Linked DNA regions of Oryzias latipes. The protein of the gene in region 1 purifies or fractionates together with the protein of each later gene. This does not show direct contact. Links are inferred from orthologs where the notes say so. Each region holds a gene or a part of one and is shown in the gene's direction. Other genes may lie near its edges. The genes, in order: alpha-parvin and rsu1.

Region 1 (7,266 bases):
ACCGACATCTGTAGCTTGTCAGATGTAATTAAATGGATGGAAATAAAATGCCCCATCACAATGCGTAATGACGCACAATGGCTGATCTTGCACTCTTAGAAGATGTGGCAAATGGAAGATTTCGGAGTGAACGCATCTTTAGACAGCAAGAAGACTTGCTGGCAAACGAGGACGAGTGGCTTATGAGCTGGTTCCGACTTCCTCGAGCCGTCCTCTTGGACCTCTGCGGGCTTTTGGGCCCGGCGTTACAGAAGAGTACTCGGAGGAACCACGCGTGTCACCCGGTGCATCTGGCGCTCCGGTGCCACCACCCCCACCCCCTACCCCCCCAACCCCGGTGGCAGAGACACTCTGGCAATGGAGCGCTAGATGTTTTTTTGCCTCGACTTTGATGTCCGACCATTTCTTTTTTATTTCGGCCACGGTCCGAGGTTGTGAGGCTACAGCATTTACGGCGTCTGCCACCGTTTGCCACTCACGGGCCTTTTTGGCATTAGTAATGCCCACACTGTGCCCTCCAAACAACATTTTTCTCCTCTTTTCCACCTCGCCAACGATAACTTCTACTTCACATTGAGTGAAGTTACGTATTTTTGATTTTCTCTCAGTGTTTGGCATGGTTTCGCAATCAATGAATATTAACTTGTGGGCGTTTCACGGACTATTTATGGGCAACTATGGGTGTGTCATGAAGCCGCAAAAGCTGCGCTACATTTAAAATCGGTTGTGATTTATTAAGGGAAAGATGCGTAGGATGTGCGTGCGCACGGTTTTAGAAATCCGAATATTTCTGTGCGTACGCACGTCCTATGTTTCATCCGTACGCCACTTCTGACGCAAATCCTACGCAAAGTTTTATAAATGAAGCCCCTGGACGTCCACAGAAGACAGCAGTGGTGGATGATGGGAGAATCATTTCCATGGTGAAGAGGAACCCGTTCATAACAGCCAACCAAGTGAACAACACTCTCCAGGAGGTAGACGTATCAATATCCGTGTCTACCATCAAAAGAAGACTGCATGAAAGTAGATCCAGAGGGTACACTGCAAGATGCAAGCCACTCATAAGCCTCAAGAATAGGAAGGCTAGATTGGACTTTTCTAAAAAGCATCTAAAAAAGCCAGCACAGTTCTGGAAAAACATTCTTTGGACAGATGAAACCAAAATCAACCTCTACCAGAATGATGGCAAGAGAAAAGTATGGAGAAGCTCCTGATCCAAAGCACACTACATCATCAGTAAAACACGGTGGAGGCAGTGTGATGGTCTGGGCATGCATGGCTGCTAGTGGCAGTGGGACACTAGTGTTTATTGATGACGTGACACAGGACAGAAGCAGCCCAATGAATTCTGAGGTGTTCAGAGACAAACTGTCTGCACAGATCCAGGTGAATGCAGCCAAACTGATTGGCCGGCGTTTCATAATCCAGATGGACAACGACCCAAAACATACAGCCAAAGCAACTCAGGAGTTTATTAAAGCAAAGAAGTGGAATATTCTTGAATGGCCAAGTCAGTCACCTGATCTTAACCCAATTAAGCAGCATTTCACTTGTTGAAGACTAAACTTCAGACAGAAAGGCCCAAAAACAAACAGCAACTGAAAGCCGCTGCAGTAAAGGCCTGGCAGAGCATTCAGAAGGAGAAAACCAGCATCTGGTGATGTCCATGAGTTCAAGACTTCAGGCTGTCATTGCCAACAAAGGCTTTTCAACCAAATATTAGGAATGACCATTTGGTTTTCAGTTATTTCATTTGTCTAATTACTTACAAGCTAATGAAATTAAGGGATTGTGTTTAGAAAATGCTTTAGTTTTTCACATTTTTATACAATCTTTTTGTTCAACCCATGGAATAAAAGCTGAGAGTCTGCACTTCAATGGCATCTGAGTTGTTTTATTTAAAATTCACTGTGGTAATGCCAAGAAACTAAATTAGAAAGAATGTGTCTCTGTCCAAATATTTATGGTCTTGACTGTGTCTCTTAAATCTGGTTGTGTGATAATTCTAAAAATGTTTGTTTGTAAATAGATTAAATAGTTAGATTTCATTTTGATTGCACCAGTAGCACCGCCCCTTTTTTCATCATTATATTTTCTAATTAAAACAGAATTCCTTAACAGCAGAATGCTAAAAGAAGTGGTTGATTGTTACAGATGGGAGAGGCGGAGCTGCGGTCGCTGCGGTGCAGCATTAGAAAGCTTTCAGCCAGGTTCTCATGTCCAATTATGGACACCAATACAGAGTGTGAAACTGGAACAATCAATCAATCAATCAATCACATTGGGCAGCGCGGACTGCCCTCTGGTAACGGGCCAGGCTCAACTGATCAGCTGGTTCTTAACACACACACACACACACAAAGTGTGAGTTCAGAGGTGATGGTGCTTTTGCTGCAGCAGCCCCCAAACTTTGCAGCCCCCCCATGTCAGACTGTTTGTTGAAGTCTTACTTTCAAGCCCACGGTTTAAAAGCAGCTCTTAATACCACAGAAATGTTTACTCATCTTATCCAACTTGATTTTGTGAGATTGTGGAGATGATTCAATTTAATTCAATTATACTTTATTGATCCCAAAAGGGGAACATTGAAGAGCTTTATAAATGAAGGTAGACTGGAGTTTTTTCTAAATGTATTTAAAGCTTTCCTTTTTAGAAGACTCCAAACCTACAGGTTCAGCTGAGCTCCAACTGTGATTAGCGACTCCTCTCCGCAGCACTGTGGTGTTCTGCACAGGCCTTCTTCAGGGACAGCCTCCTTTTGGGCTTCAGCCAGCATCCCCTGCCAAGCTGCTGGTAAAATAGGCCTCGGTGCTCGGCACCAGCACCGCCTCACAAGCACACAGAGACGGTGCTGGCCCGGAAGAGCGGCCCTCAGCGCCTTTAATCTCCTGCTGCACAGAGGAACACTGGAGTGCTTTGCAGGCCCCCGTGTGTGCGTGGCGGGTGTTTGAAGGCCAGAAACCCTGCAGTGTGTTTGTGTGTGTGTGTGTGTGGGGGGGGGGTTCAGGAAAGCCATCCTGCTTCACGTCAGAGCGGATCTCTCCTCTGTCAGATGGACTAAGTTCACAAACGGTTTCAATGGGCAAAGCTTCTAGTCCTTCCCCATGAGTGCACACACACACACACACACACACACACACACATGCACACAGCACAACAGGGGTGAATAGAAAGAGTCTTCCGGCGCCCCTGCCCCTTGATTGGTTTTCCTCCTCTCACAACTGTCTTTTTTCTGTGGCTGTGGAATCGCTCCTGTTTTGTTCCTCCAGGTTTTCTCATCAGGGAGCCTCGATTTCAGGTGTTCCTGCTGTCGTGTGCTGGCTGGACAGATGGGGACCCCTCCCTGGCATTAGGGCTCTTCCCTGGATAACCCCGGCTGCACTCTGATGGCTCGCCACGTTTCCACGTGCAGCTGCAGCATCTCCTCTGACTGCGTTAACGTGTTCGTCTGTCTGCGCAGGTCCACAACGTGTCCTTCTCCTTTGAGCTGATGCAAGACGGCGGTCTGGAGCGGCCCAAGCCCCGCCCCGAGGGTACGCCGCATGTTTACATCACTTTGGCTCTCTTGTAGCTTCACTTGTAGCCTTATATTTAGTGCCTGGATTGAATACTTTCTGTTTTTCTGTTGTTCAGTCGTTTTATTGTCCTCACCTATGAAAGCCTTGATGCAGCAAGTTATCGTCGTTTCAACAGGATTTTACAAAATAAGAGCATGAATGGCGGTCTAGCGGGTCCTGGCCTTAGTCTGACAGCTTAAGACGGATAAATGTACACAATGAATCATGTTTGGAGCTCAATCTGTGGGGTGGAGGGGTTATAAATGTATGGATTCCACAGATTTATCAGGTTTTACAGCAGTTCTTCACGTGCTTTGATTAAAAAAAAAAAGAATTTAAAGCTTTATGCTTGTTTAAATGAATGATTTTCAATTTCAGGAAATTAAAAGTTAAACCTGGAGAGCGCAAGAACAGTTTTTCTTTTGGGCTTTTAAAGTAAATTTGACCTTTTTTTGTCAATTTGTTTTGGGTAGCAGCAATTAGGAGCTACCAAAAATACATATATACATAAATACAAACATTTAACACAATAGAGGTAAATAAATGAAATTTAAAAACAGATTTGAGCCAGTGGGTTCTCCAGGGTCATTAAACAGCAAAATGGCGCACTAAACGATAATGACATGTATTCGTCTGGTTTCTCAGTGTTTCTTTCATGAAGCCTTTTTTAAATGGATGCTGGTGTTTCTGCAGACATCGTGAACTGTGACCTGAAGTCTACGCTGCGCGTCCTCTACAACCTCTTCTCCAGGTACAGGAACGTGGACTGAGCTCTCTGTGGCTGCAGCTTCACCTGAACACACGCCACTTTCTGCACGCATGAAGGCCTGCAGCTTTTCTGCTGCAGAGCTCTTCCACTCACCATCATGTATTTATTTGAGATTCGGAAACTGTTCCGTCTTTCTTAAGTGCCTTTTTGAGCTCAACCTCCTGGATGCTGCGATGGATGAGCTCCTTTCTTTTTTCTTTTTGCTGTAATGCTACAGAAGAAAACATGGAAGCCAAGTCTTTTTCTGTATGTAGATGTTTAGTTGTAGCTGAACTTGCATAAAAGCGTTGCAGATGTGGGACCAGCTCAGTCTGACTGAATCTAACTGCGTTTTTGCTTTCCCTCCTTTGTTTGGAGCATCAAACAGGCTTTATGTTCAGATGCGTTACATGTAATAAACAGTTCTTTGGCTGAACGCTGAACAATTTCTCCTTATTATTTCTGACCTCTCAAAGCCAGCCAAGAGGAATGCTTCTCCAACAAAAGAAAAACTGGGGTCAGAGTGGTTCCAATTTTGTTGGCGCAGAAAGACAAGTGAGCCTCCACAACAATTTTCTTTTCACTAAATTGATGGTTTGTTAGAAAAGCAGCGCGAAAGCTCTGTGAATGGAAGGTGACCCCGGAGTGGCTCCAGGAAGATGGCACACTGGCTGAATGTGTGAAATGCTTCATTCTCCTTACATTCCACAGTAACCTTTGTGGGGGGTATTATTGATAATGTTGCAGTGCTGCAGAGGCATTTGGATGGACATGTTTGTGATTCTTCTCTGCTTTTCAATTACTTTTAGTGTCCTATGCCCCCAAAACAGGAGAATTAAGGGTTAAAGTCAGTTTTGTGTTGAGGATAAACCCTGAGGTGAATTTACACGACTCACAGTAAGTTGGGGCTATAGTGAAAAACTTAGTGGATGTTGTAGACAGCGTCTGTTGATGATTGGGTTCGATTGAACCGATTCGGTAGGCTGCTGGGACAAATAATCATAAACTTTGAATGGAGAGTTTATTTCCGACTCTAAGTCCACCCAGATTGGTCTGTCATCTTTGTTTAATAAAAGTGTTGTTATTTGTGCACTGGTGAAGGCCTCTTTGGAGAACTGCAAATTTGGTAATCTTAATCCTCTGAATTCTATTCTAATCTGGAATTTGTTCAAAGTAATTCAGGGCCTTTTCCCAGCCCAACTAAAGCTGTTTACCATTTTCTCAATGGATTTAATTGGATTGTGGAAATGTAAGTGGTAACATGTTAAATAAATAGTTCAGTTTTGGTGCTATAATAATTTTTATTGCCTGGACCCTACCCCATAATGAAATCTGCAGTTTATCCCTACCATTCAGAAATACATTTATTTTATTGATTGTTGGTTCAAAGTTATCCTGTATGATATTGTCCAATCTCAGGTTCAAAAGTAAACCCAGGTATTACAGATTTTTGGAGTCCATGGTAGCTTCAAATCCTGAATCTGAGTATTCTAACAAGATTTCGATAGAGGCATTATTTCACTTTTGGTCCAGTTAATCTTGAAGCCTGATAGCTCTGAATATACCTTAATTAGGTTAAATAAGTGGGGTAATAACTCTTGGGGATCTGAGAGTAAAAGCATTATGTCGTCTGCAAAAGTCAGCGTTTTGTTATCAAGGCCTCCCTCCCATTGTTACCCCGTTTACTGAGTCAGTCTGTCTGATAGCTTGTGCCAGTGGTTCAAGTGTACTAATAAAAAGAGGGATCCCCCTGTTTGGTGCCACGTTCCAGATTAAATTGTGACGATCTTAATCCATTAGTTGTTACGGCGGCCTTTGGGTGAGTGTATATCATTTTAATAACTTCCCGAAAGGATATTCCAAATCCAAAAACTCCAGGTACATATTGTAGGTAATCCTAGCAGACCCTGTCAAACGCTTTTGCTGCATCTAGCGACAGAGCAGCCACTGAGCATTTTAAGTATTGGCATTTTCAGATTAAATGTGAGAGGCGCCTTAAACTACCAGAGGAATTTCTGCCCTGGACAAAACCGACCTGGTCAGGTTTAATAACTAATCCTACAACTTAGTTCATTCGCCATGCAAAAACGTTTGTTAAAAGTTTAGCGTGACAGCACAAAAGGCTTACTGGTCTATAGCTCGCAAACACATCAGAGGGTCTTTCCCTTTTTTCAATATGACTGTGATTGAGGATTCAGTCATTGAAGGAGGGATATGATGAGAATCAATAGTCAGAATTTTTGGGCCTAGTTCACAGATGTATTTTATTTTAATTTCTTGGGAATGCTGTCTAAGCCTGGTGTTTTCCCATTAGGTGAAGTTTTGACAGCTTTGTCCAGCTTTTCTAGAGTTATTGGTCCTTCTCATTTGTTGGCATTCTCTTCCGACAGTTTAGGGAGGTTTAACTTTTCCCAAAAAATGTCCGCCATTTTTAAATCAAATTGACCTTCACGATAGTATAATTTTCATAAAACTGTTTAAATACTATATTAATACTATATTAATACCTGTTACCTGCTATTTAGCACATATTTAGCTTTAATTAGATGATTAAGTTTAATCATCTGAAGAGGAAGGCTTTTCACAATATTCCTTCTCTAATTTCTTAATCTCGCCTTCATATAAAGCTGTTCTTTGTCTGTCTTGTTTTTGGATTAAAGAGGAGTGCTGTATCAGAATTCCTCGGATGTAGGCTTTAAACCCATCCCATATAAAACCTTGTTCTGTAGTGTTATCGTTAATCTTGAAATATTCCTTGATTTGGTTTTGCAGTCGTGCACAGAACTTGTTATCATTTAGTATACTTGTGTTCATCCTCCATTCCTTAATCCTTTCTTGGGGGGCCCTCAATTGGAGGATTAAATCTATGGGGCTGTGATCGCTTATTGCCATGGTACCAATATGGCACATTCAAACACTTTCAACAAGAGAGTGTGAGAGCAGAAAGTAATCTATGCT
Region 2 (7,608 bases), on another chromosome or scaffold:
GCCATCAGCCTGTTTTCTAAAACTTAGCATAAGTTTGACTTTGACACATTATGAACACATAAAGCAGATTCTGCTTGATCAAAGAAGAATGTCTTTGATGACCAGCTAATGTGCTAAAAATGTCTGCCTGTTGAATCTCCTAACTCAATGTTTGTTGAACTACAGAAAGTTTGAGTCTGACTAGAATCTGACACTGGAGATCTGTCAAAAGTCAAAAGTACAACCTTCTATTTTACTGAGCAACACTAAAAACACCTGTGCCTGGTGAGCTTGTGTTTCTGCTGCTTTTACTTGATGCAGTATTTACATGGACTGTTAAAATTGCAGGTGATAAACTGCAGAGTTTACCAGTTTGCTTAAATGTTAATTGTTTGGCACAGTGAGGTGGACAAAAGCTCATTTTGTATCTGTGGCCTTAAAGTAAATGACGCTACTCCGCTTTGGCTGCATGCAGAAACTTTCATTGAACATGGAATTCTACGTTCACGCCGTGCTCCGAAACGACCACTTCCAATTAAAAATCTATGTAAACACACATATATGCATGTTTCAGGATTCCACGTTGGATACTCTCGCATTCACACGCCACTACGCAAGACTATTTTTGGGCTCTACCGGCAAAACGCACGGCAATTGAACATGCATCAAAAGTTAAACCAGTCAGGAACACGAAGTAGTGACGTGTGGGTGGAGTCCTTTTCAAAACACAGGCGTGGTAACCATTGAGTATTGATCCTAAAAGAAAAAATAATAAATGCAGTTTCTGGAATTCTATGACGCCAAGCCCTTCATATGTCAGAATAGACGTGTGAAAGTAAAGGCCCAGAGCAAGATTCCCCATATTACCTGTTTATAGAGGGTTAGCTCTAATATTAGCTAGCGTCTTAAGCGGTTAAGGTGAAAAGCCGCTGCCATCCATCTCCTCTGATCGGTTCCTCTCTCTATGGATGTGATTGCAGCATTTCCAGAGCACATCTCCACCATCCAGCGGTACCGCGTGTTGGGAAACAGTCTCAACGTTCTACTGGTGGCCAAGCTGGTGCAGTTGCTGTTTTCCATACAGCCAACTCACAGCTGTGAGAACTCAAGCAGTGCTGCTCCACAACCCCCAGAACCAAGGCCAGGCTCAGCTGTGGACACTTAAATGAATCAAAAGGACATCTTGTAGTGGTCCTCCTGTGAGCCTCATCCTGGCACAGTCCAGTGTGATACCATTGTTACAGGCCCTGCTGGCTCTATTGTTTGATGAACGATGAGGCTTCATAGTAGGACTCCAGCAATCCATCTTCATCATAAAGGATCTCATCATCACAGTCCTGGTACTCCTCACCTTCGTTTAGTCAATGAAAGCTTCAACTTGTGAAGGAATTTAAAAAGCCTTCCCGTCCCAGCGGGGCTCTGTTTCTCGTAAGCTGCTGTTTTGACTCCTCAAAGCCAAATGCTGCAATGTAAGTTGATGGGGAACATGAATGGAATGAATAGAAGAAATGAATTGATTTAATCCACCATGTAGTGATCTTTGATTTCTTTGGTATGGGCATCCAGTGTTCATGGAGAAAAACATGGTCCATACACAGAAGAAGACACTTTTGTTAAGTTTATCTCTTTTCTCCCTGACATTTAATTTCAAACTCGATTTGTACTTTTGTAAAACCACAATAAAAATGGAAAGAATGCTCTGAGTTCCTGGAACAAGAACATGTTAAACAACACTTTGTGGTGTTGTGTTCATCCATGTCTCCTCCTGAGCTGCTCTGACTCTACTCACTGATTTCTTCACGTCAGCGTGAACCTTTGTTTGTCAAAGGTTTGCTTGTCCTGGTTGTCCTTTAATGTGCAGTGAATGAATCATTTCTTACTCTACACTAGAGTTGGGGTCTGCCCCCGGGACCCAGAGGGTTTCATTATTTTTCATTTTGTCTTTAAAACCTGATGTCAAATTTTACATTAAAGTTTCTAAAAACTGATCACCGTATAGTGGAGGTAATGTGAAGGAACTGCAAAAAAAAGGTCTTTTGATTTTTGCTTTTAGCTGCAGGTGGCAGTTCCTGGCCAATGACTGAAAAGATCTTTAGTCACATGGTTTTGTTTACAAGCTTTAGTCCGCAACAGAATGGTCCGCTTAATGCTGTTTCTTCAGGGAGAAGAGAGCCAGTGAGAAAACCGAGTCTTCGACTTAAAAAACATAAGGCTGCTATTTACAGAAAAACATGAGTTTTCCTCGACATACGGATTTATTAAGACCGTTTGTTCTCACTTTAGTAGAAGCTGCTCTGTTTAATACACAGCAACTGACTTTTGAATGAGTCACACTGATAAAAAAGCTGCAGACACGGTGGATTCATGTTTATTATTTTTAGAAAATACCAGTTTTAGGACGTTTGTGTCATTTTGCTCAATGTTATATTTGCGTTCTATGAAAAATACACTGTATTTTAGCTTTTATTGAATTTACACAAATCAGAAACCACTTCTACAAATCAATAATTTTTCTTCACTGAATCCTTTTCATCTGCAAAAAAAAAGGAACAAAAGAAACTAGTAATGCGTTCTGATGTTTGAAACAAAATTTATTGTAGTAGCGTTTTAATGTGTACATTTTTTTTTGAGAATATACTTTTTCGTGATTTTCACATTTTTTGGAAAGCGTTGATAATTTCAGATAGAATCTGCTCAATTGGTTTGTGTATAAATCACAGGTTGTAGATGTGCATCGTGTTGGGTCTGGACTTAAAAGGATATCCTGTGCAACCAATGGGTGGTGGGTCGGTCAGACCATCTGTGGAAACGTCTGGACAGAAAGGCAACTCAGCGACCGATGTTTTTATTGTCTCTGTTTTCACATTTATTCTTGGCTATATTCAATTCAAGGACTTACACATTCAAGTAGTTATTTAGCCCAATATCACAACATAGTCATCTCAATGGGCTTCAAATAAATAATTGTACGAAAACACAGAATCAGTCATAAAAAATGAACAATAGCTACTTACTAAGATAAAATAAACTAGACTAGCCAAATCCTGGACACAGTGGTTTATGCTCTCTACATGATCTTGGATGACCTGACAGAGAACTGCAATCAACCAAGTAATGCTTTCCCATTGACTGTAAACATACGGTCACATTTACAGTCATTAAGTTTTCCATTGCAGCCGCCTAAAAAAATATTAAATACACAATAAAATCCTCTAACTAAACTTTGTTTTTTAAAGAAACAGATCTTAACATGTATTTAGCCTCTATGGAAAAATATAATTTGCGACCGCGAAGCATTGTGGGATAGATGAGGATCTTTCCCCTCGGGAAGGATGTCCCGGTTCTGCCTTCAGACGAGATCAAACTATTAATGGCTGCCGCTTCAATATCGATCATTGGTGTAAAAAGACGAATATATAATGAAAACTTTTAAAGAAAGGCTCAGGAATCGTGCTGGTGATCCGTGGAGTTAGCTCGGACCCGCCCGCTGCAGAAACAGGAAGTTTCCTTTTATGGAGCGTAGGGTGTCAGTACAACTTCCGGTTCGCTGTGAGTTGGAAGGGAAGTTTTTATCCTGAAGAAAAATCCCTAAAATCCTGAAACCCTGCTCCACAGAAGAACGGTAAGCCTCCACGGACTCTTTTTCCTGAGGCGGTGCGCAGGCGCGGACGGTCAGAGCCGCGCTCGCGGTGGACCGGAAGCACCAAGCTGACGCCGTGTCCGTGTCGTTTCAGAAAGATGTCCAAGTCCCTGAGGAAGATCGTGGACGAGAGTCGAGACAAGAGTCTCCCCGAGGTGGACATGTCCGACCGGGGCATCTCCAACATGCTGGACGTCCCGGGACTGTGTAAGACGCTCGTGCTCATACGGGGTCTGGGGCGTGGCCGCGGACGTGGGGTCCATCGGCCCAGCAGAGTCCCGGAAAGAGAGAAAACTGGAAGCAGGATTTGTTGTGGGGGTGGGGGGTACCTGCAAACACAGGACCCGTTCAGAGCTCCATGTGAGAAAGTCTCCCCGCATCATGGGCTGCTGCGGGGTTCCTCTGCTCCTCCTGCGGGGGCTCCTCTGCGGGGCTGCAGGAGTTTTAAACTGCCACTCATAGGATGGGTTTGCATCAGGAGCGTGCGTGCGCGTGCGGCCCTGCATCCTTACCTGATAAGAAACAGGAACTTAAGGCTCCGCTGCACATCTGGAACAGGGAGAGCAGCCAGCTGTGTGCGTCACAGTGACGTCAGGGACGTCTAGAGCTTTTCAAGTTGGATACAATTGTAGAACTGCAGGGACGTTTTTGGACTGGATGTAGTGGTTCTGGACTGGATGCAGAAGTTTCAGACTTGATGCAGAGGTTCTGGACTAGATGCAAAGGAACTGGACTGGATGCAGAGGTTCTGGACTGGATGCAGAGGTTCTGAACTGGATGCAGAGGTTCTGAACTGGATGCAGAGGTTCTGGACTAGATGCAGAGGTTCTGGACTAGATGCAGGGGTACTGGACTGGATGCAGCGGTACTGGACTGGATGCAGAGATTCTGGACTGGATGCAGAAGTTTTAGACTGCATGCAGAGGTTCTGGACCGGATGCAGAGGTTCTGGACCGGATGCAGAGGTTCTGGACTGGATGTAGAGTTCTTAGACTGGATGCAAAGGTTCTGAACTGGATGCAGAGGTTCTGGACTGGATGCAGAGGTCTTAAACTGGATGCAGAGGTACTGAACTGGATGCAGAGGTTCTGGACTGGATGCAGAGGTACTGGACCGGATGCAGAGGTTCTGGACCGGATGCAGAAGTTCTGGACTGGATGTAGAGCTCTTAGACTGGATGCAAAGGTTCTGGACTGGTTGTAGTGGTTCTGGACTGGATGTAATGGTTCTGGATGTAGTGGTTCTGGACTGAATGCAGAGGTTCTGGACTGGATGCAGAGGTTCTGGACCGGGTGTAGAGTTCTTAGACTGGATTCAGAGGTTCTGAACTGGATGCAGAGGTTCTGGACTGGATGCAAAGGTTCTGGACTGGATGCAGTGGTCTTAGCCTGGATGCAGAGAATCTGGACCGGATGCAGACGTTCTGGACTGGCTTTAGTGGTTTTGGACTGGATGTAGTGGTTCTGGACTGGTTGTAGTGGTTCTGGACTGAATGTACTGGTTCTGGACTGGATTCAGTGCATTTGGACTGGTTGTAGTGGTTCTGGACTGGATGTAGTGGTTCTGGATGTAGTGGTTCTGGACTAAATTTAGAGGTTCTGGACTGGATGTAGTGGTTCTGGACTGGTTGTAGTGGTTCTGGACTGGATGTAGTGGTTCTGGACTGGATGTAGTGGTTTTGGACTGGTTTTAGTGGTTCTGGACTGGTTGTAGTGATTCTGGACTGGTTGTAGTGGTTCTGGACTGGTTGTAGTGGTTCTGGACTGGATTTAGTGGTTTTGGACTGGTTGTAGTGGTTATGGACTGGATGTAGTGGTTTTTGACTGGATTTAGTGGTTTTGGACTGGTTGTAGTGGTTCTGGACTGGTTTTAGTGGTTCTGGACTGGATGTAGTGGTTCTGGACTGGATTTAGTGGTTTTAGACTGGTTGTAGTGGTTCTGGACTGGATATAGTAGTTCTGGACTAAATTTAGTGGTTTTGGACTGGATTTAGTGGTTTTGGACTGGTTGTAGTGGTTCTGGACTGGTTGTAGTGGTTCTGGACTGGATGTAGTGGTTCTGGATGTAGTGGTTCTGGACTAAATGTAGAGGTTCTGGACTGGATGTAGTGGTTCTGGACTGGTTGTAGTGGTTCTGGACTGGATGTAGTGGTTCTGGACTGGATGTAGTGGTTTTGGACTGGTTTTAGTGGTTCTGGACTGGTTGTAGTGATTCTGGACTGGATGTAGTGGTTCTGGATGTAGTGGTTCTGGACTGAATGTAGAGGTTCTGGACTGGATGTAGTGGTTCTGGACTGGATGTAGTGGTTCTGGACTGGATTTAGTGGTTTTGGACTGGTTGTAGTGGTTCTGGACTGGATGTAGTGGTTTTGGACTGGTTTTAGTGGTTCTGGACTGGTTGTAGTGATTCTGGACTGGATGTAGTGGTTCTGGATGTAGTGGTTCTGGATGTAGTGGTTCTGGACTGAATGTAGTGGTTCTGGACTGGATGTAGTGGTTCTGGATGTAGTGGTTCTGGACTGAATGTAGAGGTTCTGGACTGGATGTAGTGGTTCTTGACTGGATTTAGTGGTTTTGGACTGGTTGTAGTGGTTCTGGACTGGTTGTAGTGGTTTTGGACTGGATGTAGGGGTTCTGGACTGGATTTAGTGGTTTTGGACTGGATGTAGTGGTTTTGGACTGGTTGTAGTGGTTTTGGACTGGATGTAGTGGTTCTGGACTGGTTGTAGTGGTTTTGGACTGGATGTAGGGGTTCTGGACTGGATTTAGTGGTTTTGGACTGGATGTAGTGGTTTTGGACTGGTTGTAGTGGTTTTGGACTGGATGTAGTGGTTCTGGACTGGATTTAGTGGTTCTGGACTGGTTGTAGTGGCTCTGGACTGGATGTAGTGGTTCTGGACTGGATTTAGTGGTTCTGGACTGGCTTTAGTGGTTTTGGACTGGTTGTAGTGGTTCTGGACTGGTTGTAGTGGTTCTGGACTGAATGTAGTGGTTTTGGACTGCTTGTAGTGGTTCTGGACTGGATGTAGTGGTTTTGGACTGGATGTAGTGGTTTTGGACTGGTTGTAGTGGTTCTGGACTGGTTGTAGTGGTTCTGGACTGAATGTAGTGGTTTTGGACTGGTTGTAGTGGTTCTGGACTGGTTGTAGTGGTTCTGGACTGGATGTAGTGGTTTTGGACTGGATGTAGTGGTTTTGGACTGGATGTAGTGGTTTTGGACTGTTTGTAGTGGTTTTGGACTGGATGTAGTGGTTCTGGACTGAATGTAGTGGTTCTGGACTGCATGTAGTGGTTCTGGACTGGATGTAGTGGTTCTGGACTGGATGTAGTGGTTCTGGACTGGATTTAGTGGTTCTGGACTGGTTGTAGTGGCTCTGGACTGGATGTAGTGGTTCTGGACTGGATTTAGTGGTTCTGGACTGGATTTAGTGGTTTTGGACTGGTTGTAGTGGTTCTGGACTGGTTGTAGTGGTTCTGGACTGAATGTAGTGGTTTTGGACTGGTTGTAGTGGTTCTGGACTGGTTGTAGTGGTTCTGGACTGGATGTAGTGGTTTTGGACTGGTTGTAGTGGTTCTGGACTGGATGTAGTGGTTTTGGACTGGTTGTAGTGGTTTTGGACTGGATGTAGTGGTTCTGGACTGAATGTAGTGGTTCTGGACTGAATGTAGTGGTTCTGGACTGGTTGTAGTGGTTCTGGACTGGTTGTAGTGGTTTTGGACTGGATGTAGTGGTTTTGGACTGGTTGTAGTGGTTATGGACTGGATGTAGTGGTTCTTGACTGGATTTAGTGGTTTTGGACTGGTTGTAGTGGTTCTGGGCTGGTTTTAGTGGTTCTGGACTGGATGTAGTGGTTCTGGACTGGATTTAGTGGTTTTAGACTGGTTGTAGTGGTTCTGGACTGGATATAGTAGTTCTGGACTAAATTTAGTGGTTTTGGACTGGATTTAGTGGTTTTGGACTGGTTGTAGTGGTTCTGGACTGGTTGTAGT

What was found.
Region 2: the proteins of alpha-parvin (region 1) and rsu1 purify together in Homo sapiens (affinity purification with mass spectrometry; 3 studies listed by BioGRID and IntAct, counting the BioPlex papers as one, with this or other methods). This does not show direct contact. The link is inferred for Oryzias latipes from reciprocal best matches to the Homo sapiens genes PARVA and RSU1.

The regions. Positions count from the first base shown.
Region 1 is NC_019864.2:717,692-724,957, forward strand, and holds the end of alpha-parvin, read left to right. Parts: intron 1-3,463; coding exon 3,464-3,536; intron 3,537-4,253; coding exon 4,254-4,330; 3' UTR 4,331-4,751; downstream 4,752-7,266. UniProt on the Homo sapiens protein: Plays a role in sarcomere organization and in smooth muscle cell contraction. Required for normal development of the embryonic cardiovascular system, and for normal septation of the heart outflow tract.
Region 2 is NC_019878.2:1,154,347-1,161,954, forward strand, and holds the start of rsu1 (ras suppressor protein 1), read left to right. Parts: upstream 1-2,932; 5' UTR 2,933-3,601; intron 3,602-3,713; 5' UTR 3,714-3,717; coding exon 3,718-3,826; intron 3,827-7,608. Other genes in the region: trdmt1 (tRNA (cytosine(38)-C(5))-methyltransferase), read left to right, coding at 960-1,144. UniProt on the Homo sapiens protein: Potentially plays a role in the Ras signal transduction pathway. Capable of suppressing v-Ras transformation in vitro.